Linked DNA regions of Lepisosteus oculatus. The protein of the gene in region 1 purifies or fractionates together with the protein of each later gene. This does not show direct contact. Links are inferred from orthologs where the notes say so. Each region holds a gene or a part of one and is shown in the gene's direction. Other genes may lie near its edges.

Region 1 (7,632 bases):
AAAGATCTGTGAAAGAAAAACTTATTCTTTTAGCCTTTCTGGATTACTCTTTATTCAGTTTTAACTGAATATGTGAGTCCCATTTTAGACTAGTCAGTACAGAATAATGTGGGATTTTGCAGAGAATTGCCTTGGTTTTAGTGCCTTAGTAGATCTGTGCAAATTTAGATTTAGGATTATATACTCTTATGTGCAGCTACAATTGCCTTGCTTGAGCTTTAGGTATTTCTCTGACCAAAAGCTTTGATCTTACAAATCAGTTTCTAATTCTTTGATAAAATGTATTAAACATAAATTCCAGGACAATTGGGATGAAATTGAAATCCATGCTTTTGCAGCATGTTGTAGAGACGTGCCACTAAGTGTTGAGTCCAGAAACACGTCTCTCAGGTCCCATAAATGTGCTTGTTGGGGTGGCCTTAGACATGGTCTCGAGGGACTGTGGGAACCATTGTCAGTGCCATATCTGAGGTTCTGGGATGACGAGGGTTGTAACTGCAGTGAGCTTTTTAGATGTTTTCAGTCTGCGCAAGGCTGCCGTCTGATTCCACACAGCTCAGCACTGTGGCTTTGCAAGAGACAATAGTAGAGGCGTTTCAGATTGTGGCTGAGCTGTGCCTGCTCGCTCTCTTTTAACGCCTACCATCCCCAGCGACTTTTGTTGCGCACGGAAGTGAAAAAAAAAGTTATGTCTGTGAAGGGGTTGGAGGGAAAAAAAGTTATCTCCTTGCTAGCAAAGGCTTGACTCGTGTGTTGGTGTAGTGCTGGGTGCTCATAACCAGGTTATGACGAGACCCAGCCTCGCTGTATGTAGCATTTTTTCCTTATGGCACAAATTGTCCCTCCTTTTCATCTATGAGTTGGAATAGTACGTTTGCCACTGTAAGTTGAGCCCATGCTGCTGAGAGCTTGCTCAGGCCTGTGGCATCGAGGCTGAACACATAGGGACAGGCCGCCTGGCAGCAGAAACAGTCTTAATTATTGATGATGGTCGTATAAAGTAACATTGTGGAAATATGTTAGCTCATGTATTAACTGGGGTGCTGTCCGACATTCCTGTCCTGTGAACTGGCTTGTTTTTATTGGTTAAAAAATTTGAATCGATGTTCAGGTTTGTCTCCAAGGCGGGACTAGCCCTGTAAGAAAAAAAAAAGTTGCAAATCCTTGGTAAACATTGTTGCTCCCATAGGTGCTGAGCTGTTTTGCCTCGTTCTGGGGTTCTGTTTATTAGAGCAGCTGAAATCGATTAGTCTGTTCTGATTTAGTTTGCAAAGAAGAGTTAAAAATAGGCTATTAAGAGTTTGCCCTCTTACAATTTATTCATTTTCTTTTTCTTAAAATATGTCTACTGCATAAAGTCTCAACCCTCCTGGCCTAGAGTCCTCTCCTCTGTCCCACACTGCTGCTGTTTGGATTACTTTATAATTATAAAGTATATATAAGTTATATTTTAAAATCCACTGGAAAATACCATGCTAAATAATTCAAAGCTGTTTTGATTGACTGAGGTCAACAAGCAAAATAAAGCTTTAAGGCACAGGTATATGTGACCAAGTGTTGAGACAGTCTTTTGTTTATTACTCCTGGGGACTCCCTAGTCAATATCAGTTCTTGCAGCTGCAGCTGTTCCGTATTCATTAGTGCTAATCACCTCAGTGACTGTCGGTCTATACAGCTCTTCAGAAAACTCAATGCCCCTTTTCAGCTGTAAAGCTCCCATACAAAATGTGAAAACCCATTTCAAGCTGAAATCATGTTATGAACATTTTAGAACACTTCCTCGCTGTTATCTTTGATCCCACCTGTCCATCTCGTGCTTTATGTCCTGGTATTTGTTTTCTAACTGTCCGGGAGATCAAGATCACCACCAATCAAATGTATTGTGCTACATTATTGTCTAGCTGGACAGCAAATCGCTTGCATGACTTATAAACACAGCATCCGTTTCACTGGCTGTGAGGGATAAATACATGCCCAGATGAAGTTCAGAACAGACTGGATTGTCAGAGAACACTTTGCACATGGGCTTTACATTAGTGCTACAACTTGGTAAAGGACTCAGTGAGCTGAGACCATGTATTCTAGGTTGTTTTTTTTGGGGGGGAAGATTTGATCTAAAGACGCGCTTAGCACATTTGATCATAGAGTATATTTTTATTTATTTGCCTGTCCCTGTGTAACATTATTCCTGTGTATGTGCTTTATGTAATACCTTTTATTTGTAAAGTGCCTTTCCTAACCCAAAGGTGCTATACATGGTGATAAAGAGAAAAAAAAGAACAGAAAGTAAGTAAAATGAAACAAAAACATGCAGGATAAACTGTAAGTAATCAGATATAGGCTCCTAGAAGGTGAGTTTTAAGTTAAGGTTTAAAGAGAGTCAAAGAATTTGTCTCTCAAAGAATAGGGCATTTCATAAGAATAGGACAGGGAGAGAAAAGTCTGTGGTATAGTGGAGGGCACAGTGAGCAAAGGAGCAGCCTGAATGGAAAGCAGCCTACTGGGGGAGTACGGAGAAGCATGACAGGGCCCGGTTATTTACAGCCTTGGAAGTCTGATGTATGCCAATGTTACTGTACATCAGGGGTCCACATCGCGTGGCCTGGAGGGCCACTGTACCTGCACACTTTCATTATACCTGAGCTACCATTTGTACTTCATTATTGAATTAACTGGGCCAGTTTGCATATAAAGAGGTCAAGAAGAGCACTGCTGATGTTGGACTGCGGAGCTCAAGAACTGAAGCAACAATGCATCTAAACTAGTTTCCAACCTCCCATCTCTGTTGGAGGCAAAGAAGGATTTTTCCTAGAAACCTGCTGTGTACAAGCATGGCGCACCTCCCAAATATCAGGGGCGTGTGTTCCCTCACTAGCTACAACTACGGACATAATGGCCAGCTGGCTGTTGTACAAATGGGAAGACAAATTTCACCGTTGAATTATGAATCCCAAAGCTGTTGAAATTTCGTTGACGAACCTTTGACCTCAGGGACCCTTTTTCAGGGTTTTTCCAGCATCGCGGGCTTGAAAGGCACGAGACCTGGCCCTGGCGGGAGGGTGGTGGTCGAGGCCCGAGGTGCGGTCTGTCCGCGGTGGCCGCGGCTACGCAAGCGTTGTGCGTCTTGTATGGTCGTGCTGCAGCAAGTCCTCGCCCGTCCTGTTTTTCACTCTCTGGGCGCAGGTGGGCGTTCTCTGGCTGCAGGTTTGCCAGTGCTCATGAGCTCCGGCAGGTGTGGCAATCGCAACCCTTCTACCTGGACAGGGCTGAGAAACACGTCCGTCCTGGGAACACGTGAGGTCATAAGTAAATGTCACAGGAGGATAAAGTGGGAGCAGTAAAAAAAAAAATGGTACCCTTTTCTTAGTTCTTGCTCTTTACCTTCTGTAAATTTTAAAATATCCCTCATGCATGCGTGTGGTGCAGTATAAAAGGCTTGTAGCTTGAAGAGAATGCTAAATCCCATTGCATTTGGAGGTCATGCTCCAAATTTATTTTTGTGGCAGGGAATCTGGAATGTTTTTGCTCTGCAGGAATCATTCCCAGGGGCTCAAGCTCGTCCCTGCTTTCCGAGGTTCAAGAGGGCTCGCGGTGTTCCAGGTCCAGTGAGCATTGCTAGCAGTCTTTGAGTGTCTGTTCTGATGAGGTCGAAAGCGTGCTCTCTGCGTGTGGGGAATAAGGGGGGTAGGGCTATGGGCAGGCTGCGGGGTCTCTGCACTGGGCACTGATAATAAGTGCCGTCCCTTCAGCCCAAGCCAAATAGACCTCATTCCAGCTGAAATGTGTATTTCTTTTGCTCTCCGTTTTGTCTGCTTGGCTGAGCACTGCTCCTGTGGGAGTTACATAAGCCTGCCCACAGGCCAAGGGGCCTAATAGAAGATGGCATTTGATGCCGCTTGATCTCTCCTGTCTCCAGTCCTCCCTTCGTCTCACCCCTGAAATGTATTGCTGGGCACAGTACCCCAGAGCGTCTTTGCTCAGGCTGTTGCTGAAGCGCTGGTGAGGTTGTAAAGTATTGTTTTGCCTTTTGGGGATATTGAGTAAGCAGAACCTGTGTGCTGTATCTGCAGATCTCTCTCTCTCTACACAAACAGAAGCGTTCCTGCTGAGATGTGCGCATAAATTAGGAGAGCATAGATATATATATAGATGTTGTTTTTGAAAGTGTTTGCTGGCTTCCCTGCTCTAACCCTGCACCTGCGTACCTTTCTTGCTGTCCCACGACACCACTGCCTGCCAGTGATCCAGCCCGTGGACTATTCATCTAATAACCCCCCCCCCCTCCCTTCCTCTCTCTCCCCTCCTCCCTCTGTAGTTTTTAAGGCACAGCACAGCAGCGCTCGGAGGAGAGAGTGCACGCTCCAGCGCTGGGGCTGTGCTGTGCGGAGCTGGCATGTGGTTGCTAGACTGGATCGTCTCGCTGAACTCGGCGGTGGTGAAGCTCGCCAGCGGTTTGAGGTGCAAGTGAGTGAGGGCCAGGCGGTGGGCAGGAGGTGTAGTGCTGGATTGATTCATTTTCAATAAGGCAAGCGAGCGACAGAGTGGGTTCAGCCTGGGAGCGGGGTTCGGCGAGAATGGCACTGGTTTCTGAGCAGAGCTGCAGTTGGCATTTACAGCTATAGTCATGCAGTGTTTGTAGTTTTAAATGTATGTATAGCACCCTCTGCTGTGTTTTTTTTTTTGTTGCCAAAGGACACTGCTTATTTACTGATATGTGAATTTTTCTTTTTTTAATAAGCAGGTTTATTTAATTTTTGTTCCCTCTGCTAGCAGTGTTGCTGCGCATGTTGTCCTGAAGTGGAGCAGCCCTTCAGTGTTATTTTCCCCTAGAGATGGCAGTTAACGGGGAGCAGTCTTCCTCCCTCTTCCTCCTACTCGCTGTGCCTTGATTAATGCCTGATTAACCAAGCCTGCATTTTGACTTTCAGACAGTGTAATTGAATCTTCTGTCCTCTCCTTGCTTTGATTGTGCATTTGACTTGGTCCAGTACTGGGCTTCTTTCATCTGAAAAGCGAGTTCTTGGTTGTTATGCCGGAGACGTGTCTCTTCACAGCTGCGGTGTTGTTTAAATGCAGACAGTCTCTTATTTAATAGGTTCCAGTTTTGCTCTAAATTAACCAGATAGACCGAAAGCACTTCTTGTCCGGACAGCCATGGTGCTGGGCTGCAGCTGTCTGCATGCATACCAAAGCCGAATAGAAGAAGTGTATTGTGAGCATCGCTCGTGTTTTCTGTAGCTGTAGTGTCCAGGGGGTTCCTAGTGTGAGACAGCTGTGCTGATGCCTGGTGCAGTGGGATGGTTTTAACAGTTACTGGTGTCATGGCGAAGGGTTGTTCTTGCCTTTCCCTCCTGAAATGGCTTGCTCAGCCCCTGCACCCTTTGCGTGACAAGCCTCTTGCGGAAGCAGTCCTGCTGCGGTGCTGGAAGATTGTAAAGCACAGCAGGAGTTGTCAAGAGGGGCCCATTCTGCGGTTGTGCTTTTTAAGGCCTGTGCAGTGACCCTCCAGCTCTCCCTTTTTGGTTTGCGTGCTGTGTGCTGCTGTACTTGAGCCTGCTCCCCCAGAGCGCGGCTGAGGTGCGCTCCCAGCGTGAGCTCCTTATCGCCTGGGGGTGCAGGGGGGGTGAGTGTGGGTGATTGGCGTCAGCACAGCCGCGTCTCTCTGCATCTGACCATCGCCCCCTGGGCTTCTCTGGCTGAGACCGAGCCTCTGCTGTGCTTTTCACACTCCTAAACAAACGCTGCTATCCGGAGGCATGACATCAGTCAGTGACTTTGTACACAGCCATTCTTGTGCAGCACTGCTCAGTTCCTCAGAAACTAAGCGTCTTGCGCCGGTGACCTGAGAGAGATGGATTCACCTTTGATGGCTGATACACGACAGTGTGCAAGATTCATTGTGCAGCACAAAATGAAGTGTACCGTGAATCTACTACCGTGTTGATGTCATTTGTTGCCAACACAGCTCAGGACAACCAGCTTGTATTGTATACACGATTGGCTTCCTGTTTTTTTTTTTTTAAGGTTGAAGCAAAGCCAGGACGATGGAGTTCCAAAGAAGTAATTGCATTGATTTAATTAATGTTATAGAAGTGTAACAAAAATCACAGCGCTTGTGGAGCCAGTTATCACGGTGCTGAGCAACTGGCACACACCTTAAGTAATGAAGTAGATTAAATTCTGCCGGCTGATTTGTATGCTATATGACACCAGCTAAAACAGTGAAAATGCTCATGGTTGCACACAGAGTCATTGAGTCAGAGAGCATGCAAGCTCTGTGTTCTGATCACCCCATCCTGGTCCTGGAGACCTGTGGGTTTCTGTTCCGCCTGCACTCGGTTGAAATAATTGAACCTTTATAGGTTTCATTTGAATTCTTAAATTGTTTCCAGATCCTATACATGTAACATGTTGCCCTTTAACGATTGCATTAAACATCTTAAAAACTCCAATCCTTTAGTAGAAAAACTTACAAAGTTTCTAACCCAAGCAGTTTGTTGATTCAGTTAAGGTTTCTGTTAAATTAAAGGCTCAGCTTGAATGAAAAGTCTCAGATGTGTGGGTTCCCAGGGCCAGGATTGGGGATCTCTGGCTCGGATGCAGTGTCCTAATGCAGGGATTATGTTCAGACAATCCTATGTATTGGTAGACTGATGCATTGCTGTAGTTTTACTTGGCCGTCATTTTTTCGCACCCTTGCGACTCTGCTTTGTGTGCCATTTTCAAGAAATATAGTTAGGCCAGTTGATTTCATTTGGTTTAAAATTCTCTCTCATGTCACTTTCGATACAGCTCTTATTGTCTACACATTAATCATGTGCAGACACAGGAGGGAATGACTGTCAGACCCTCTTGCGATGGGTGTCTTAGTGCTGCATTCAGCCCGTTGGTTAAATTAAAAAAAGTCATTGAAATAATTAGCCATAACGAGAAGACAGCTGTATCCCAGCATTGGGCGCAGGTGTGATGCTAAGTACTAACCTCATGCGCGACAGCAGGTACAGCGTTCCGTCTGGGAGTCATGCAAAGAGCCATGTGCCCTTTGGCTCTGAGTTTTAACTAGAATTGTTTCATTTTCTCCTTACAGAACATGCTCTGTTTAGAGTCTGTATCCTTGTTCAATTTGGTCTAGGTGAAAAAAAAAACATCCAGTTAAACAGTTAATCTTGTAAGGGCACCTAGTTTTCCAGCCTTCAGAATTTAACTGTGACTGTTGATTCTGGGTAAAAAAGACTTTACAGCAGTTTCATTATTAATGAGCTAATGTTGAAGACTGATGGAATATTGTTAAAATAATGGAGGCCCAAGAGTATTGTTTTTTAAATTCTCCAGTAAAAATTAAACTGATAAGTTAAAAATTCGTCCAGTACTTTCCTGGGTGGCTGTATGCTTCTTGGTCAGTTTTGGGAGAATACAGTTAGTTTTCTTCTGCTCTAGAAGTGGTCTGCAGAAGACATTCACACTTGGGGCTCTAAATCTCTGAAGCCCACAAGATCTTTACATCTGCCATTTTCCAAAGTTCTGATGAGTATGGCAAAGATTATTTTCATTATACGGAGATATAACTTTGTGGAATATACATTCCATAAGAATAGCTGTTGCAGAAATCTAAAAGGGCAGAGAATGAAATGA
Region 2 (8,181 bases), on another chromosome or scaffold:
ATTTACAATCAAACTCCTTTCCTGTTGCTCCCTTTCACCATTCCTCTGCAAGGAGACCACAGTGGAGGTTGGACACTCCTTTGGTGTTAAACCAGATAAAATTCACAAATGCAGGGGTAAAGGAGTCTTGATTAATTATTTTATAATTCATTAATTTGTTTATTGCTAGAAGGCATCATTTTGCTGATACTCAAGGTATGTGTTTGTTACAATATGTATTATGAGCAGGTCACAAATCTTTTGCTTGAATGTATTGTGCCCACATAACTGAAGTTCTCCATCTTGTTTTAGAATCCCAAGGCATTTGTGCGTGTTAATTTGTACTTTTGCATGTTACACTAAATAAATAACAACATTATGAAAAATACTGACGTTGACAGCTGTGAGGAGCCTTTCTAAAGCAGTGACAAACTTGTGTGCCATATTCCACACTCACTGGCCAAAATATTAGCAACCCCCACCCCCAGTCAAAGATGCAGGCCATGAAGAGCCTGAGACAGACTTCGATCCCCAGACTTTCTGAACACACAGTATCACAACCTCGACTGAAGGTGACCCAGCTAGAGGAGCTGGGGGATGGCTCAGTGGCTCAAATGGTAATATGCTTGCCTGAGCATTAGGTAGAGTTCTGTGACCTCAGGTTCGAGCCCGGGTCAGGTCACTAACTGGGATGCTGGGATGTCTGGGAATCCCAGAATGGTGGTGAACAGTTGGCCGAGAGCTGCAGAGGGTGGGGAAGGGGGATTAGTCAGCTAGAGAGGTCTTGGATGTTAGCGACAGTGACCCCCTGTGGCCTCCCAGGGACTTGCAGGCTCACGGGGCTGTTGGTAAACAGCCTCTCCTGCAGGGGGCAGTGTGGCACCTTGGATGCCTTTAAGACAAGCGGCTCAGAGGTGGGTGGATCGGAGGGCGTTGCCCCACCTTTCTCGTTCTCTCCTCCCTGTGTGCGGTTGTGGGGTTCGTGAGCTGGGCATCAAAATGTGAAAAACACATGATTAGCTCTTCCAGGCTGGGTGGATATAAGGAGAACAATTGGAGACGCATACATTAAGAAGAAGAAGAATGGGGGCTGCAAACAGATCAGAATTTTGCAGAATACAAGCTACGTCCTCTGCTGTGTTTGCAGCAGGGGGGGGGGTCCTAATATTTTGTCCAACAAGTGTAGCACTCCTGGCGAAGAGTGAAAGAGCCCCAGAATGAGCGGAAAAAGCAGACCGCGGTAAAATAGGGGTTCAGAAATTAACGAAGCGGTATGCTATTGAAACTGAAGGGTTAACACCTTCACTGCAAAACACAGCTAATATTTTATTAATAGTAAGTGCAGCAATCATCAAGATCCTGACGGTTTGCTAACCTGAATATCCGCTGGCGGCACGCTGCATAATGACATCCAAACAGCTAATGAATACATTAGAGATGCAGAGAGAAAGATTTCAGCGCAACATCAAGGATGAATAACATAATTGCCTGAAGGAGCAATTGCAGGGAAAACAATTTCAGCTTTGCTGCTTGCATGTCACCACAGGACATGCTTTTGGTTTTCCTGCTTGTTTTTTTTGGGGGGGGGGGTTCTAGACAAATTTAAAGTTGTCGCCTTCAACTATTTTAGGATATCCCACGCCCAAACCCAGTCCAGAACCTTAAGGCTAAACATAACTTTAAATCTAACTCTAAGTTTGTGCCATTATTGAGCGTAATCCAGCTTTTCTCCCTAAACCTTATTGTGACTCTAAATATAACTCTACTCTGTTGTTCACTCCAATGCTAACCCCACCCCAGCTCTGACAGCTGGGAATAATGGATACCATTGTCAGGCCAAACAATGGATTCCAGTCTAGTGCAGAGTGCCGGATCGTCATGGCACAGGGCCACAGCCGTCAAGTGGCTGGACTCTGTTATTGATGCAGTCTGTGCCTTCCTTGCTCAGTCTTGCACTCTCGGGCTGAGCTCTGCTCTGCTGCCTGACCAAGGGAGGGAGGACTTTGATAGCAGTCCGCCCGGCCTCTTCCCCGTCCATTTTCATCGCTCCTGTGGTGCTTTCCCAGGGTCTACTCTTCGCTGTGTTACAGCCCACAGTCAGGAGTGGATCAATGCTGAATCCGAGACTGCCCCGGCCATCTCTCCCGCACTGGTCGGCACTGACCTCCTTTCCGACCAGTGCCGGGCATTTCCGGCACCTCCTTGGACTTACTGAGGCTGAATTTTACAGTGCCCGGTGCAAGCAAAGGCACTGTGCGCTTCCGCTGGAGATTAAAAATAGTTAAAGGCGTCTTACAATCACAATTACAATCAGTAGGCTTTTTATTGAAGTTAAAATCGGAGGAAAGCAGTTTTGAAAATTCATGGACGTGTGCCCTCTAGCTGTGCTGTAAAGGAGGGATGGTAGGTGAGATGGACACTTGGGAACCTCCAATAAAAGTGAACGCAACTGCTTGACAGCACCTGAGACACTGATCCCTCCAGCAGGGGGCACTGTGACATCAAACGTATTCTAATGCTTCTTTCTCCTGCACTTCTGGCATTTTAAATCATGAAATCATGAAGCACACTTTCAAAACAATAAACACCCATCTAAAATGGCCACATCTATGATGTGTTCTGTTCAGGATTTGAAATGGCTTATATTTCAAAAGGAAATGTCAATGACTTCTGCGTTCTGAGATGCTGTTTTTGACATTTTGGAATCACTTGCAAGGAGAAACTGGTATGCAATGGTTTTTTTTTTCCTAACCGCAAACCATCTATCTAAATGTCATTTTGCTGCAATAAAGGTCTCCCACGAAACAAAGATCCTTAGGCATGTACTGTAAGATAGGATCTCAGAATAACCCTGTCTTTCAATACCTTCACCAAGTCACAAGGGCTGAGGGCCAGACAGAACTAATGACATCAAGCAATAAAGTGTGTCCCAGGAAGATCTGCTTTTGCTGTGTTGAGTGGCCATCTTGCAGCACTGCAGTCTGGCCTCGCTGATCAGCATCAACGCATTGGGATGGGCTTCTATCAGCAACCTTGCCTGGGCTAAATTTAGCCTGACCTTGAGGATCAGCAGGGCCCCCCTTGGGATCCACAGCACAGCCCCTCCGCTGTTTGGAGCCTGCTCACTCCGGCATCAGCACGGGGCCCACAGCTGTCACTCAGTATTAACAGAGCACGCGGGCTGACAGAAAACATCCCCTGCCCGAGCCAGGGCTCTCAGGCCAGCGATCGGACGGCCGCCCAAGTGCAGTGGACGAGCAGGCCCGATGCAGGCGTAGATATGTGTGTAGCATACTCCAACGGCAGCGTTAATAAGCCCAGGCCCTGACCTGCTCCCACATCCGGCTGAAACTGGTATGTGAAGGTGCTGGGCAAGCACACTGTGAACTGGAGAAAGTGGCTATCAAACAGATAGATGAACAGTACCTCTGACAAGCCTGGAATCTCCAGGCGCCTCTCAGCCACTTTGTCAAATAGCTCACTTGTAAAACACAAGTACTGAAGGAAGAAGGGTTCAGAGAACAGGGAGAGGACAGTGCAGACAGTGGGCTCAGCGTGGAGACAGTGTGCACATGGTTACAGGCCAGACTGAGGTTACAGTGAGTCCCATGTCATAATAATAATAATATATAATAATAAACTTTATTTTATATAGCGCCTTTAAAGGTGGCTTCTCAAAGTGCTTTGCAGGATGACAACAACAATAAGAAGAATACACAAGATAAAACACAATTATAATATATAGAGGAGACCACGGACACGTTTAGTCATGAGCTAAATATATATTATATTAAACAAAACAAAAAACAACAGTCACAAAGGCTGAGGAGGATGGTAACAACAACAACAATAATAAAATAATAATAATAATAATAAAATAATAATAATAATAATAATAATAATAATAATAATAATAATAATAATAATAATAATATGCTCACACCGGAAGAAGGCTCCATGGCCGAAACGTTGTTTTCTTTCTTCTTTTCAGAATGGAATAAACCTATTACTTGTTCCTAATAATAATAATAATGTTGCAAATGGGGGGTGACCAGACTGGTGAAAATTACTTTCCACAGATAAACACAAACGGGGTGGGGTGAGAGCGTACAGTGACGGGGGGTTACAGCGAGAAATAGCTTTTTTTGCTGGTCTTCACGTGTTAACTTTTGCTTGGAACACGATGCCATCTATCGGATATCCTTATCGGTACACATAGTCGACATTTCTTCCTGATTATGCTAGCGAGCTGGTCCTGCCGCGGCAAATAACGTGTTCTCAAGCTCCAGAGAGGTTTCCACATGGAGTCATAATATAGAGTCCTGTATTCGGGGGAAGTCTTTTTACATACAGCGTTACTGCATACAGTTTAAAGTACGGATACATAACTGCACAAACAAAATAAAAATCTTATAACAACAACGTTTAAAGTCCAGCTTTGCACAATCGTAGTGCATTTTGGATCAAAGCTATTAAAAAAAACCCTACAGCTGCTTAAAGATTATTAAACCTACGATTCAGCGCGAAACCAATGCTGGTTACTCTCCTCTCTTGATGTGATTGGCTATTTCAACTTGCGACGCACCGCCCCGTCCTGTCCACGATAACCAATGTGAGACGAAGAACATGTTGCTGTGTCCTGTGATTGGTCAATGACAGCACTTGAGCGGAAACAGCCACGAAAAAAAAACAATTTCAAACGGAAGTCAGTAGGCTTCGCGGGATCTGATTGGTCAATCTTTGAAGCGCAATGTAAACGTATTTTTAAATTTGAAAATGCAGTTCGGTGAAGGGTTGGCTCTTTGTCGGTTGTGGTAGTCAGTGTTATTCTGTAGAGGTTTAAAGTGTAGTGCTAGGTTCGGTTGAGAGGGTTTTGTTAGCGTTGATATTTTTAGCTTTATTCATCTGTTTTAGTAAAACAGCCATTCTCTGTTTTATATAGGTTGTAATACCGCTCGAATAGTTAAGAAATGGCCTCTGAAGGAACGCTGAAGGTAAGGTTAATGTCGACGAGCATGCTGGTGGTATCTGTGGAGGGAAAACCGAAATCTGGAGCCGAATGCTTACTTGAAAATATTATATACCTGTTTCTTTCCTCGTCTGTGCACGATTAAACAATTCTATTTCATTTGGGCTAATAAACACGGTTTTACATTCATGTTCAAAACCGTTATGTAAGGCAAAAAGACTTGCGGGGTGGAGGGAGTTTTTAATCTGGGATTATGAAAACAATCAGAACAGTAAAAAACTGGATTTATGACCGCATTCCAATCCTCCAATGCTAAAATATTATTTTAATGTAAAGTTTTCCAGATAAGTGCTTTCGATTTCGTCTTGGGACATATTTTCTTTTTTCTTTTCTGGCGAGGGTAAATTGTCCTGTTTGCGTGCAGCCTGCGATCGCAGCCGGTGATGGGTATGAAAATCAGATTTCAGATCGTGAATGTCCCCAGGTCGTTGAAGTGCTTACAAAATGGCGAGAACTGGACTCAGTTTGTCATGCCCCCTGACGGTCATCCTACCTCGATTTCCCTAAAACTACGATTCCGTGATTTCTGCTTTACTTATTCGGCTGCAAGAACTGAATTATTGACCAGTTCTCATCTTACTGTCCCAGCGGAACCAAGGAAAGTAGAGTTCGGCGTTTTGATAACCTTTCTTAATTACCACAGTGACAGGCATTGTATCTGGGACGAAGAATTTTCCGAGATATTTCAATTATAAATTTTGGGGGTAAATATTGTGGGGTTTGACTAAATAGAACGCAGCTGCTACATGGGATGTCTAGTCTTTCTTGTGTACAGAAACGAAAGACTATTTACACTTGCAAATGTTAAGTGCTTCGGTCTGGGACGAGCGGGGCGGAAGAGCGTTGTCCGTTAACTTTTTTTTTTGGTCAAGTTTACAATCTGGTGGCAGCGAGCCGAACTTCAGTCCGTCCCGTCCCCCTAAATCTTTTTAAATCCCTACCGCCTGTGGCATTGACACGCATCGCTTTCTTCTCTTACGACACCAGAGTAAGGCACAATCATTTCATGCAGCACTTTTCCTGTGGGAAGTTAAAAACCGTTTCAGACTCCTTGATGGCATGAGCTAAACGGTAAACCGAACTTCACCTCTGCAGGGCTGGTTTTCATTCCAGCGCACCTATTAATAATACAATTGAACTGGTAATTGGCTTCATTTAAGCTCTTTTGCCAGAACTTTTCCCTGCTGTGGATCTTTAAAACCCGCTGGACAGTGGCTCTCCCAGACGGGGATTCTAAATACCAGTCCACAGGGCGCGTTTGTAAAGCCAAATTGCTGTCGCCCACCTCTTGCCCTTTTGTGTCCCCTGCAGACGATGTTTGAGAACAAGCCTGTGAGCAAGGCGAAGGATGATAAGCGTCTGTCTGTGGAGAGGATCTACCAGAAGAAGACGCAGTTGGAGCACATTCTGCTCCGTCCCGACACCTACATCGGGTCTGTGGAGCCCGTGACACAGGTGAGCACTTGTGACACAGGCGGGCAGGCACCTGGCCATGCAGTTTGCAGTGTGGCAGCTCTTTATATATCCGGGAAAGTGTAGGCAGAGGCTGGATTCATGCTGTTTATTACCCCGTTTTAGTGGATGGATGTTATTTTTGTCAACTCAAAGCTAGTGCATTAATACTTTCGTGATCATTTAAGGGAGGGTGTCTCATATCTTTTCGCCATGTGTACTCTAAACTGTAGTACATTATGCAATGGTACAAGGTTATATGTCAGTTTGGTTGTTTGTGATGGTTCTCTGCACTGAACCCTTGTGGATGTTGAGAACCTGCTGTAGTTGGACAGTCCAGTAAGAAATGCAGCCTATGGTGGATTCCCTAGTTTCTAGTATGTTTCCTAATGCAGAGTTCCGGCATGCTTTGCAATGTTACTGCATTGAATGAAGGCTGTGGCACCAGTCAACTAACAATCAGCTCACACTGAAATCTTGTTGAAGAGCCCCAGTTTGATGTTCCACAATAGATAACTAAGTTTTGATGGCCTTCTTTTCTAGCAAATGTGGGTGATGGATGAAGAAATCGGAATGAACTGCAGAGATGTGACTTTTGTTCCTGGCTTGTACAAGATCTTTGATGAAATCCTTGGTAGGTACTAATCAATAATGTGAGGTGGTGTCAGAGTAGCCTTCTGCTGTAATAATTTGTGCTTAATTGACAAAGATGTGTCTCTCTTCCGGACATTGTTATACCATACAGCATTGAGCCATTGATCTTTTTCATAGCGCCACAGGATAATGGACGGTGTGTATTTGTTTTCTAACATTGCCGTAAGAGGATATTTCCATGGATCCTTTTGACTCTGTGCATATTAATGATCAACAGTATTAAACACAGCTTTTCAAGATTATTGAAAATTGAGCTAGAAAATCTGTTCTTCTGTTTGAAAAATAAGTAAAAGCCTAAATCTAAGATCTTGTTTTTCTCCAGTGAATGCTGCAGATAACAAACAGCGGGATAAGAAGATGTCCTGCATCAAGATCAACATTGACCCGTGAGTGATGTTCTAGAATATAGTCAAGGGTGCAATCGAGTCGACAGTTTAGCGTTAACATTTTAACATTTCAGTACCTAGAGTGTTTTTTTCAAATGTAGATACTTTATTTTATTGTGGTTTCGGAACTGAAAACCATGAAAAAGCTCAAGTTAAATAAATCCCTGGATCATTTAACAGTAAATGACTTAATTGGAGGAAAAATCAAAAGCCACTGGGCTTCGCAAACCCTGCCTTAGTCACATACTTGCCCTGTAATCCACCGCTACACTTATTCCTACACTAGTACACTATTATGGAAACAATTATCAATGACACACCTCTAAAAAATCACTTGAGTGTCACTGACTCTCGGAAATCCTTTCTATCACCTGGATCAAAATGTTTGTTTGGGAAGCTGTGCTTCCTTGAGAATTAAATTTCAGGAGGAATTGGAACCATCTTTATAGGGACAAACATCTTATTGTATATGGTCAGGGCGGCTGGGTATTTACTTGGGGTCTCTGTGTGGACTTTGTCCCCAGTGAGAATAACGCCATCAGCGTGTGGAACAACGGGAAGGGCATTCCTGTGGTCGAGCACAAAGTGGAGAAAGTGTTCGTGCCGGCCCTGATCTTTGGACAGCTGCTCACATCCAGCAACTACAACGACGACCAGAAGAAAGTCACTGGTAAGGCCAGC
Region 3 (8,190 bases), on another chromosome or scaffold:
GTTTTTATGCTTCAGTAAAACTGTAGGCGGCATTAGGTTATAACAGTTACAATAGAATGGAGACTTATGTACTAGTAAATATCAGTGACAGAACAAAAATCCACATATTTCTGGCAGAATACATAAAAAAAGAGAAATGCAAGTCCTACAAAAAATCTAAAGCTGACTAGAGAATACGAAATGTTATGCTGTATTCCAAAATAAAAAGCCTACAGTCAATGGAGGAGGGCCCGACAATGGCACAAATCACCATGGATATGAAAGACACGTTCTCTTCATTTGGAGGCCCGTGGCGTTCTTTCAGAAAGGCCCATATTTGACTCAGCCAGAGATGTACATTTGTCATGGTATAAAGGAAAACACTAAAGCATCTGTATGTTGTTGTCCTTGAAGTTTTCAAAAGCATGGTCATAAATATCATCAGATATATGGACAATTTAGCTAAGAAACGGAAGGTGGACTTGGAACTAAATGCGATTTAACAGACTAATAATTTACGTTTTTTGCTAGATATTTGGCTTAATATAAATACCCTCTAACTTTTCATAACTATATTTATCCCCCTAATATAGCAATAACTTAATTAGAATAACAATATCCTACACAGTGACAAAGTGGTAAGCATTACTGCCTTACAGTGCTGGGGCCCTAATTTCAATTCCAGATCTAGGGTGCTGTCTGCATGGTTTCCTCCCGCAGACCAAAGACATACTAGCAGGTAACTTGGCTTCTGGTGTGAGTGTGCGCTGTGATGATCTGGTATCCGGTCCAGACTGTATTCTGCCTTGCACCTGTTGCTTGCCGGGGCAGGCTCTGGCTCCCCCTCAACCCTGAACTGGATGAAGTGGTTAGAAAATGAGTGGATACCTAACCCAATCTTTGTGATTATATTGCACTTCACCGCATTCAAAACATTTTTGGCTGTGGAAGAGACCGAAGAAACCCAAGGTACATATCTTTGCCATTACCTGGGTATACATTTCCTTGAAGGGGTTCTTGCATGAAAAGAAATCCAGGTCAATATCCAGAATGTAAGCATCTGTTTGCTGGATAACTGGGAGGATTCGTTTCACGGGGTCTGTTTCCGAGTCCAGTTTGATTTTTGAAAGGCAGCTGGTAGAAGATCCTCTGCTGGGCTGTGCTATTTCTCCATGGCCACTGCTACTTGTGGTGGACTTGCTGCCCCCTGCTGGTTCCACACTCATGTCTGCAGGTGTCTTCTTTGCCAAGGACTCAACTTCATCCAGCCCACCCGAAGGCTGTAATTTAGGTCTTTTAGCAGCGCACTCCACGGTTTCCTCCTCTTGCTTCCAAGCATTTTCCACTGGGATAACTCTGACAACATGCAGCTGTAAAGGCTTCTTATTTTCTAGCTGATCTTCAGGGACATAGAGCCCATCGCTTAAAAAATAATCATCTTTACTCGTCACCCTGAGACACACAGAAAAAAAATGTGAAGGTTTCTTGTTATATTGTTCAGCAGAGGACGAGGTATGAGCCACTGCAACATGAAGAATGAACTTATCTCTCACTATATTGTGCATGCATCATCGTGATTAACAGGAAAAAGTGCTAAGAAAACCTGTGTCAAGATGAAGAGTAAGCTCAATGTTGCGCTAACAGTTGTTTAGAAATTATGTTATGGACCAGTAAGTGTACTGAGAAACCATGGAGCACAATCATGAGGCCGTGTAGCTGAATATGCATTTGAACGAGAAAATCTTGTGAGCCCATCATCTAAAATTGTTTTAAGGGTTTCCTCAGAAGATTATGGGACAAGCTCAAATACCAAATGAAAGAGCAACAAAAAACAGACTGACGAAAAGTAAAAAGTCAGGCAGAAAGAAAAACCTGGCATTATGAAAAACAAAGAGCGTTAGAGATAAAAAGGCAAATAAATAAAAAAAAGTAAAGTAATTTGTGATGTATGTCATGTCATTTGCCAAACCGCTTTTTATACCATATGTCCATTTTCCACATTTCCATTGAAAATAAACACTTACACATCCAGCCATTAACATGTGACATTTCGAGATGTATTATTGATGAACTAACTGGTTGAAACAGTGAATTCTAGCCATATTCTAATGTATTAGTAGCACAATGGTTATTGTACATTTAACCAGCAATCACATAGCCTACATAGCCGATATAAAACAATGCCAAATCAACATGTTGTACTATGAATTTACCTGATTGTTGTTGTAGAGGAATCCTTCCCAACCGACATATTGTGCTCCCCCTCTGTAATCTGTTGTGCCCAGGAAGGGTGAAGCCATAGGACATTAGATAAATGCCCTGCATACACCATGGGCATAATCCAATTCTCAATACTTAGCTCACTGGAAAGATATTAAAATATCAGATAATGTTTAAGACTAAAATTCAAGGGGACAGATTAATGGCTTTTTTCCCCTAAGAATTTATGCCTACTTATTACAGAGCTCCTCGGGTCGTGGCAAACATTACTGAACTACAGACTCCAGCAAACAAAATATATCAGGTATTATAACTCAGCTTTAAACGTTAAAAGCTTTGTGGAAAGAAAGTCATGAAATACAAAATACTTGAATGCACTTAATTCAATACCGTGAAACAAAAATGAAATTGTTATTTGAAATGAGTCATTGAAAAAAATCCGATATAGACCCCTTAGTCTTCTGCTACAGTCGCCAAGTTGTGGTAGCGATAGAAATAAAGTGGGAGAGTACTAAGAAAGCAGTGGCATTTAAAAAAAACAGCAAAGATTAGAAAGGAATGTCTTATTTTACTTTCTTGCTAGAATTCTTCGAACAGGTGATGAACATAGTAGAGAAGCCTTGATTTAAAAGGGTCAGGTAGAGGTTCATTCGCTGCTAAAAGGTAGGGAAAGAAAAACAACACTTGGTCTGTGGAGCCTTCTTCAGGTGTGAAGGAGGGAGAGAAAGTACAGTAGCAGATCAATATGGCATAGCAGGACAAAACAACAGAGTAGGTGAAAGGGACGGGGAGCAGTTGGGAAATGGGCATAAAGCAGGTGAGAATGAAACTAGAGGATAACAGGATGAGAGGTGTGGAAAGCCTAAATGATTAATTTAGTAGCAAACAGTACAAAATATTTAGATATCCAGAAAGATTTTATAAAGAGACTTATACAAATTCATGAACTACACAGACACAAGGCTAATTTCATTTAAAATTAATATTAATATGTGCAAGCAATTGACACTTCTTAAAAGGAACACACTATTTAACTTAATATTGCATGGGTGATTCGGTCCCACAGCAAGCTAAAAGCAGAGCGGCAGGGTGGCGCAGTGGTAAGCATGACTGCCTCGTAGTGCTTGGGGTCCTGAGTTCAATTTTGAACCTGGGGTGCTATCGGCATGGAGTTTGTATGTTCTGCACGTGTTTGCGTGGGTTCCCTCTGGGTGTGACAGTTTCCTTCCAAGGGCATACTGGTAGGTTAATTGGCATCCAGGAAAATTGGCCCTAGATGTGAGTGTGCGTCCTGCGATGGACTGGCACCCAGTCCAAGATGTACCCTCCTTTGAGCCTGCTGCTTGCTGGGATAGGTTCTGGCTCTATGGAAACCCTGAATTGGAAGAAGCTGTTAGAAATTGGATAATGGGACACATGGACAGACAATCAGTGTTCGGATCAGGAGAGAAGAGACAGCGAGAGACATATGTTCTTTTTTTTTTTCCTCGCACAGCTATCAAACCACAGGTAAGATGTTCATGAAAAAACAACCATCATGTTCATTATCATGTTTGTTCCTGCAATCCTTTCAGAATATCTGTGACCAATGAACACATCTTACCTAAACAGCTCTTCTTTGTCGAACACGGTGTCAGCAGGCATGTTGACAGGAATAAGCAGGTCGGGGTGGGAATCTAAATGGATCATTTTGATGTTCTTTATAGGTAAATGTCTGGAGCCAATGGCGCGATAGATGTGAGGTAGCACCTGTATTAGAATAAAGTGCAGAGATTGCAATTGCGGTTTGTAAAACGAGCAACGTGATCTGTCAACTGTCGGCTTTCCCATAATTGTACTTTGTTACAACAGTGTAGCATTAATAGTACTGTTTATTCTTCGGGAAAATAGCTGGTAATGTCCAAAATGTATTTTTTTATTCGCATTTTATTTTTGTGAGGGTCTTAAACTATAACTATATATATATATTACATGAATTTACCCGGAACACTTACAGGATTGATTAAACAAAACTGACCACAGTTCGCAGTGTATATACATGAGGCTATAAATAGCATAAATACATATTGATGACAATATTCCTCTTTGTACAGTCTTCGGTATTCATTATACTACAGGGTTAAGACTGTATTTTACAATCAACTATTGCTTTCAATTTGCAATTCGTATTCTGAAAGCTGGATATATTAAGGCTGTAAGCAGGGAAAGGAAACGCAGACAATTAGATTAAAAAAAAGTGAAACTGGTACTCACATCATGATGATCTTCCACTATCCAGACGGGGACATCTTTATAAACTCTACTTGGCGCTTGAGTGGAATTCATACCACCTCCTCAAAAAAAAGAAAAAAGAAAAAACAAACCACTTGCTCTCTGCCTGCCTGCAGTTTATTTTAGCCTTGTTGACGGGGGACCCGTCTCAGTGTAACACACGCCGTTTCCTAGCCGCGATTGGTGGAGCTGTCCCGTCTCTGCAAGCGATTGGGCCGAAGTCGTCCGTCTCGGTCTTTTGCGCCGCGATGAAACACGTTGCCTTCACTTATGCTTCCCCGGTTGTTTAAATCTTAAAACATCTTTCCAGTTTCCCTTGTCTCATGAAGGCAGCGGCTAGATTTATGCGTTGCTAGGAATACATGGTACAGAGTCGAGAAGCTAAAAAACTGAAAAGCTGTTGTTTTAAAGTGATTGCGTGTTACAAACCGGAATATGCCAGTCGTCGCATCCGCTCAGAGGAAAGGAAGGCGAGCCGATATCAACAGGGATCATTTCCTGTTGAGATTATGGTGCTGAGCTTGAAGCGGCGATACACATGTAAAATGTAGGGTAATGACCAAACTTTTTATCTTGCTAGCAACAATTCTTTTAGGTAAATCGTTTTAACTCTTCTTGGAGACTGGCGATCGTTGTCTTTTGTTCTAAACATTTTATCGTTAAAGGTAAGTTTCTGTAACATGCAGCTTTGAATTTCTTTATACCGTTGTATGCTTTGGTAAAAAAAAAACGTAAAAAACGTGCAAGCGATAGGCTAGTTTGTCTCGGTTATATTAAGAACTGAACAGGCTACAATATCTCAGGCTACAATAATGTTTTTCCCCCCATGTTGTCAATTTGAACGAATTTATGTTATTTACCTATACAAGTCAGATGGTGCAGTCACGAAACACACAGCATTGTTGACGGTATTTTTATTTTATATATAAAAAAATCTTGCTCATAATTATTTATGGCGCTTTTAAACAGCAAATCATACTGATACACAACGATGCCGGACATCGGTAGCAGTCCCACACTTTAAATGGGCACGATGAAATACGTCAATATAGAAATCCAGCATCAACTTTTATTCTTTTTTTGCGTCGTATTTAACATACAGTATGCACTTCAGCCATTTAAACTTATAGACCACTTCATTGAAATATTTGATTGATTCGATGTTTAACCTTTTTTTTCGCATTTTGGCTAGAGACTCACATACGGGCAGCCTTTTGTGTGTCGTTTCCATGAATTACAGTGATACCATCACATCTTTGATGCCATACAGGATGTAGACTTAAATATGATCAGCTTTATGCCTGCCATTTCCACGAAATACAGTGATCAAAACTCCGTTTTAACTTGGTTTAAAACTGTTGCTCTCCCGTTGCTTTCTAAACAGCTCTTATTGTTTGTCAGTTAACAATGCGCAGACAGAATTGGGAATGATACTGTCAAGCACTCTGATTAAAAAAAAAAAAGAGGCATTCCTATTGCTGCGTAGGTCTGTTCATTAGGTTTAACCAAATAATTGAAAATACATTAGTGTGTGGGGAATCGAAACAGATTTGGGCACCAGTTTCATTCTTATTTCTAACAGTGTTCAGTCTAAAAATAAAGATGATCTTTTATTTCACACTGCTTTATAGACTTATCCTCTATATATTCTCTATATATCTACATGAAGATCTCAACATTTTGGTCTAGTTAGCAGTTTTTATGTATAACTAGTGCAGTGCAGTCCATCATAGAATCTTTTTGTTGAATTGCGTTTGTTGAAACCTTTTATTGTTGACTTTCTTGACTGCTGTTACTACCATTAGTGAGATGTAATGCTTGTTGTTTTTGTGTTGTTTTTGCCTCTCTTTAAGAATCAAGATGTCATTCCATCTTGGGCGCGGCTGTCCCAGGGGACGAGTCTCCTCCGGTCAGCGGGGGGGATCGCAGAGCTACCGGCCGCAGAACCTGCGCCAGATTCCTCCGCAGCAGTCCATGCCTTCCTTCCATTACGAGCCGCCGCCGCCGCCTTCGTGCCCCGGATATCCCAGTCAGGGCAGCCCTGGCTACATACCTCCGCGTCCCGATTTCATGCCGTACCCCCCGCCGGTGCCCTCCCAGGGTCAGAGTGCGCTGAACCAGTGCCCGGTTCGCCCCCCCTTCCCCAACCCCCCGATTCGGCAGGGGTTTCCCGGACCCCCGAACTTCCCCCCTCCACCCCTGCCGAACTCGTCCGCCAGCCTGTTGCCCGGACCGGCGGCCTCAGCTCAAGGCTCCTACCACTACATGATGCCCTCGGTGCCGCCGCTGCCGCCGCCCCCGCCCCTGCCGCCCCCACACCCCCCTGCGCCCCCCTCCATGTCGCAGCCCCTGGGCTACCAGCCTCCCTACTCCATGAGCTACCCCCAGCCCCCGTTCCCGCCGCCCGGCTTCGGCGGCGGCGCGGGCTACGGCCCGGGCTCCGGCTCGTTCAAGGCCGACCAGTTCCGGCACGGCGGCCAGTACAAGCCGGAGAAGCCCCAGAGCGACCGGAGGTCGCCGGAGAGGAGCAGGCGGCACGAGGAGCGCCGGCACAGGGGCTACAGCTACGGCGGCCACGGCGACAGGTACAGGCCGGAATACGGCGGGGACCGTAGGGACCGGGGGCGGAGCCCGGACAGGCGGAGGCAGGAAGGGAGCCGCCACAGGTCCGAGCATGAGCGAGGCAGGACGCCGCCTCGGCACAGGAGTCGGGAACGTAGCAGGTAAGTTGAGCTCGACTGGCACGTGCACATCGTCGACGCATGGATATCCTTTAAATGCGCACACTGAAATGCATCAGTGTTGAAACCCAGGGCCCGCTTTTATTCATTTTATGTATCGGATTTAAAATATAGCATGCACGAGCTAAAATGTGACCCAGACCTATAGGGTTGTGTAATGTAAGTGTCTTTCATTGTTTCATAACGAGCTAAGAGGTCCCCTGTCTCTTCTAATTCTAGACTTCTTATAGGACACTTGATGTTTTGAACAAGTACTTGTACTTGATGTATAGAATATGTGATGTTTCTCTTTCCTGCGATTTTCTCCAACACATCCATCAGAATAGATTGTTATAGTGTAATATATCTGTAATAGATTGAGTTGTAATTGTTCAAGTTCTTATAAACTGCCTTGGTAGAAAAGATGTGATCCCTCCTCTCCAGGATTCAGATATGAAGGGCTTACAAGTAATATTTATTAAGTATCACTTATTTTGCAAGTGATGCATGTCCTGATCATGCCAAATAGGGGAATGTGCAATCAGAATTTCAGTATTTCAGGATTTTGATTGCTTTCACCACAATTTCAAAGTCACAAATTTCCTTCCTTTTATTTAAGTCCAAAAAAGGTAAATCCTTCATTTCTTTCTGACCACATTCTAATGGACTACTAAATGTAGTCAGGCTTTTTAAGACTACTGGTATTGAATGACTTCCGTATACTGCATCTTCTCTAAATAACATAGTTGTACTGCAGTACAGTGCCAGATAATTTCCATGGTTGATATCTTTATTAAGCACTTTTCTCAGAGCTCTTGTACTGCCCTGCCGGAAGAGCGTTATCCAACTCTGCAGGAAAGCAACCTCTGGGGTGGTGCTTGACAGCACTTTTGTGAACACAGCTGAAGCTGACTTGATTTATGTAATTTGTCTCCTTTTAATTTTAAAATGTTTTTTTAGAAACAAAAATCTTCATCATGTACAGTTAAACAAATGAGAA

Evidence for each region.
Region 2: the proteins of SRSF protein kinase 1 (region 1) and top2a fractionate together in Homo sapiens (co-fractionation; 3 studies listed by BioGRID and IntAct, with this or other methods). This does not show direct contact. The link is inferred for Lepisosteus oculatus from reciprocal best matches to the Homo sapiens genes SRPK1 and TOP2A.
Region 3: the proteins of SRSF protein kinase 1 (region 1) and drosha purify together in Homo sapiens (affinity purification with mass spectrometry; 3 studies listed by BioGRID and IntAct, counting the BioPlex papers as one, with this or other methods). This does not show direct contact. The link is inferred for Lepisosteus oculatus from reciprocal best matches to the Homo sapiens genes SRPK1 and DROSHA.

Annotation. Positions count from the first base shown.
Region 1 is NC_090700.1:36,074,380-36,082,011, reverse strand, and holds the start of SRSF protein kinase 1, read left to right. Parts: upstream 1-4,345; 5' UTR 4,346-4,393; coding exon 4,394-4,464; intron 4,465-7,632. UniProt on the Homo sapiens protein: Serine/arginine-rich protein-specific kinase which specifically phosphorylates its substrates at serine residues located in regions rich in arginine/serine dipeptides, known as RS domains and is involved in the phosphorylation of SR splicing factors and the regulation of splicing.
Region 2 is NC_090723.1:6,354,378-6,362,558, forward strand, and holds the start of top2a (DNA topoisomerase 2-alpha), read left to right. Parts: upstream 1-4,735; 5' UTR 4,736-4,949; coding exon 4,950-4,973; intron 4,974-6,319; coding exon 6,320-6,463; intron 6,464-7,003; coding exon 7,004-7,094; intron 7,095-7,436; coding exon 7,437-7,500; intron 7,501-8,024; coding exon 8,025-8,170; intron 8,171-8,181. UniProt on the Homo sapiens protein: Key decatenating enzyme that alters DNA topology by binding to two double-stranded DNA molecules, generating a double-stranded break in one of the strands, passing the intact strand through the broken strand, and religating the broken strand.
Region 3 is NC_090701.1:6,467,730-6,475,919, forward strand, and holds the start of drosha (ribonuclease 3), read left to right. Parts: upstream 1-4,969; 5' UTR 4,970-5,135; intron 5,136-6,323; 5' UTR 6,324-6,330; coding exon 6,331-7,193; intron 7,194-8,190. Other genes in the region: c6h5orf22 (UPF0489 protein C5orf22 homolog), read right to left, coding at 969-1,431, 2,193-2,342, 3,803-3,948, 4,453-4,524. UniProt on the Homo sapiens protein: Ribonuclease III double-stranded (ds) RNA-specific endoribonuclease that is involved in the initial step of microRNA (miRNA) biogenesis.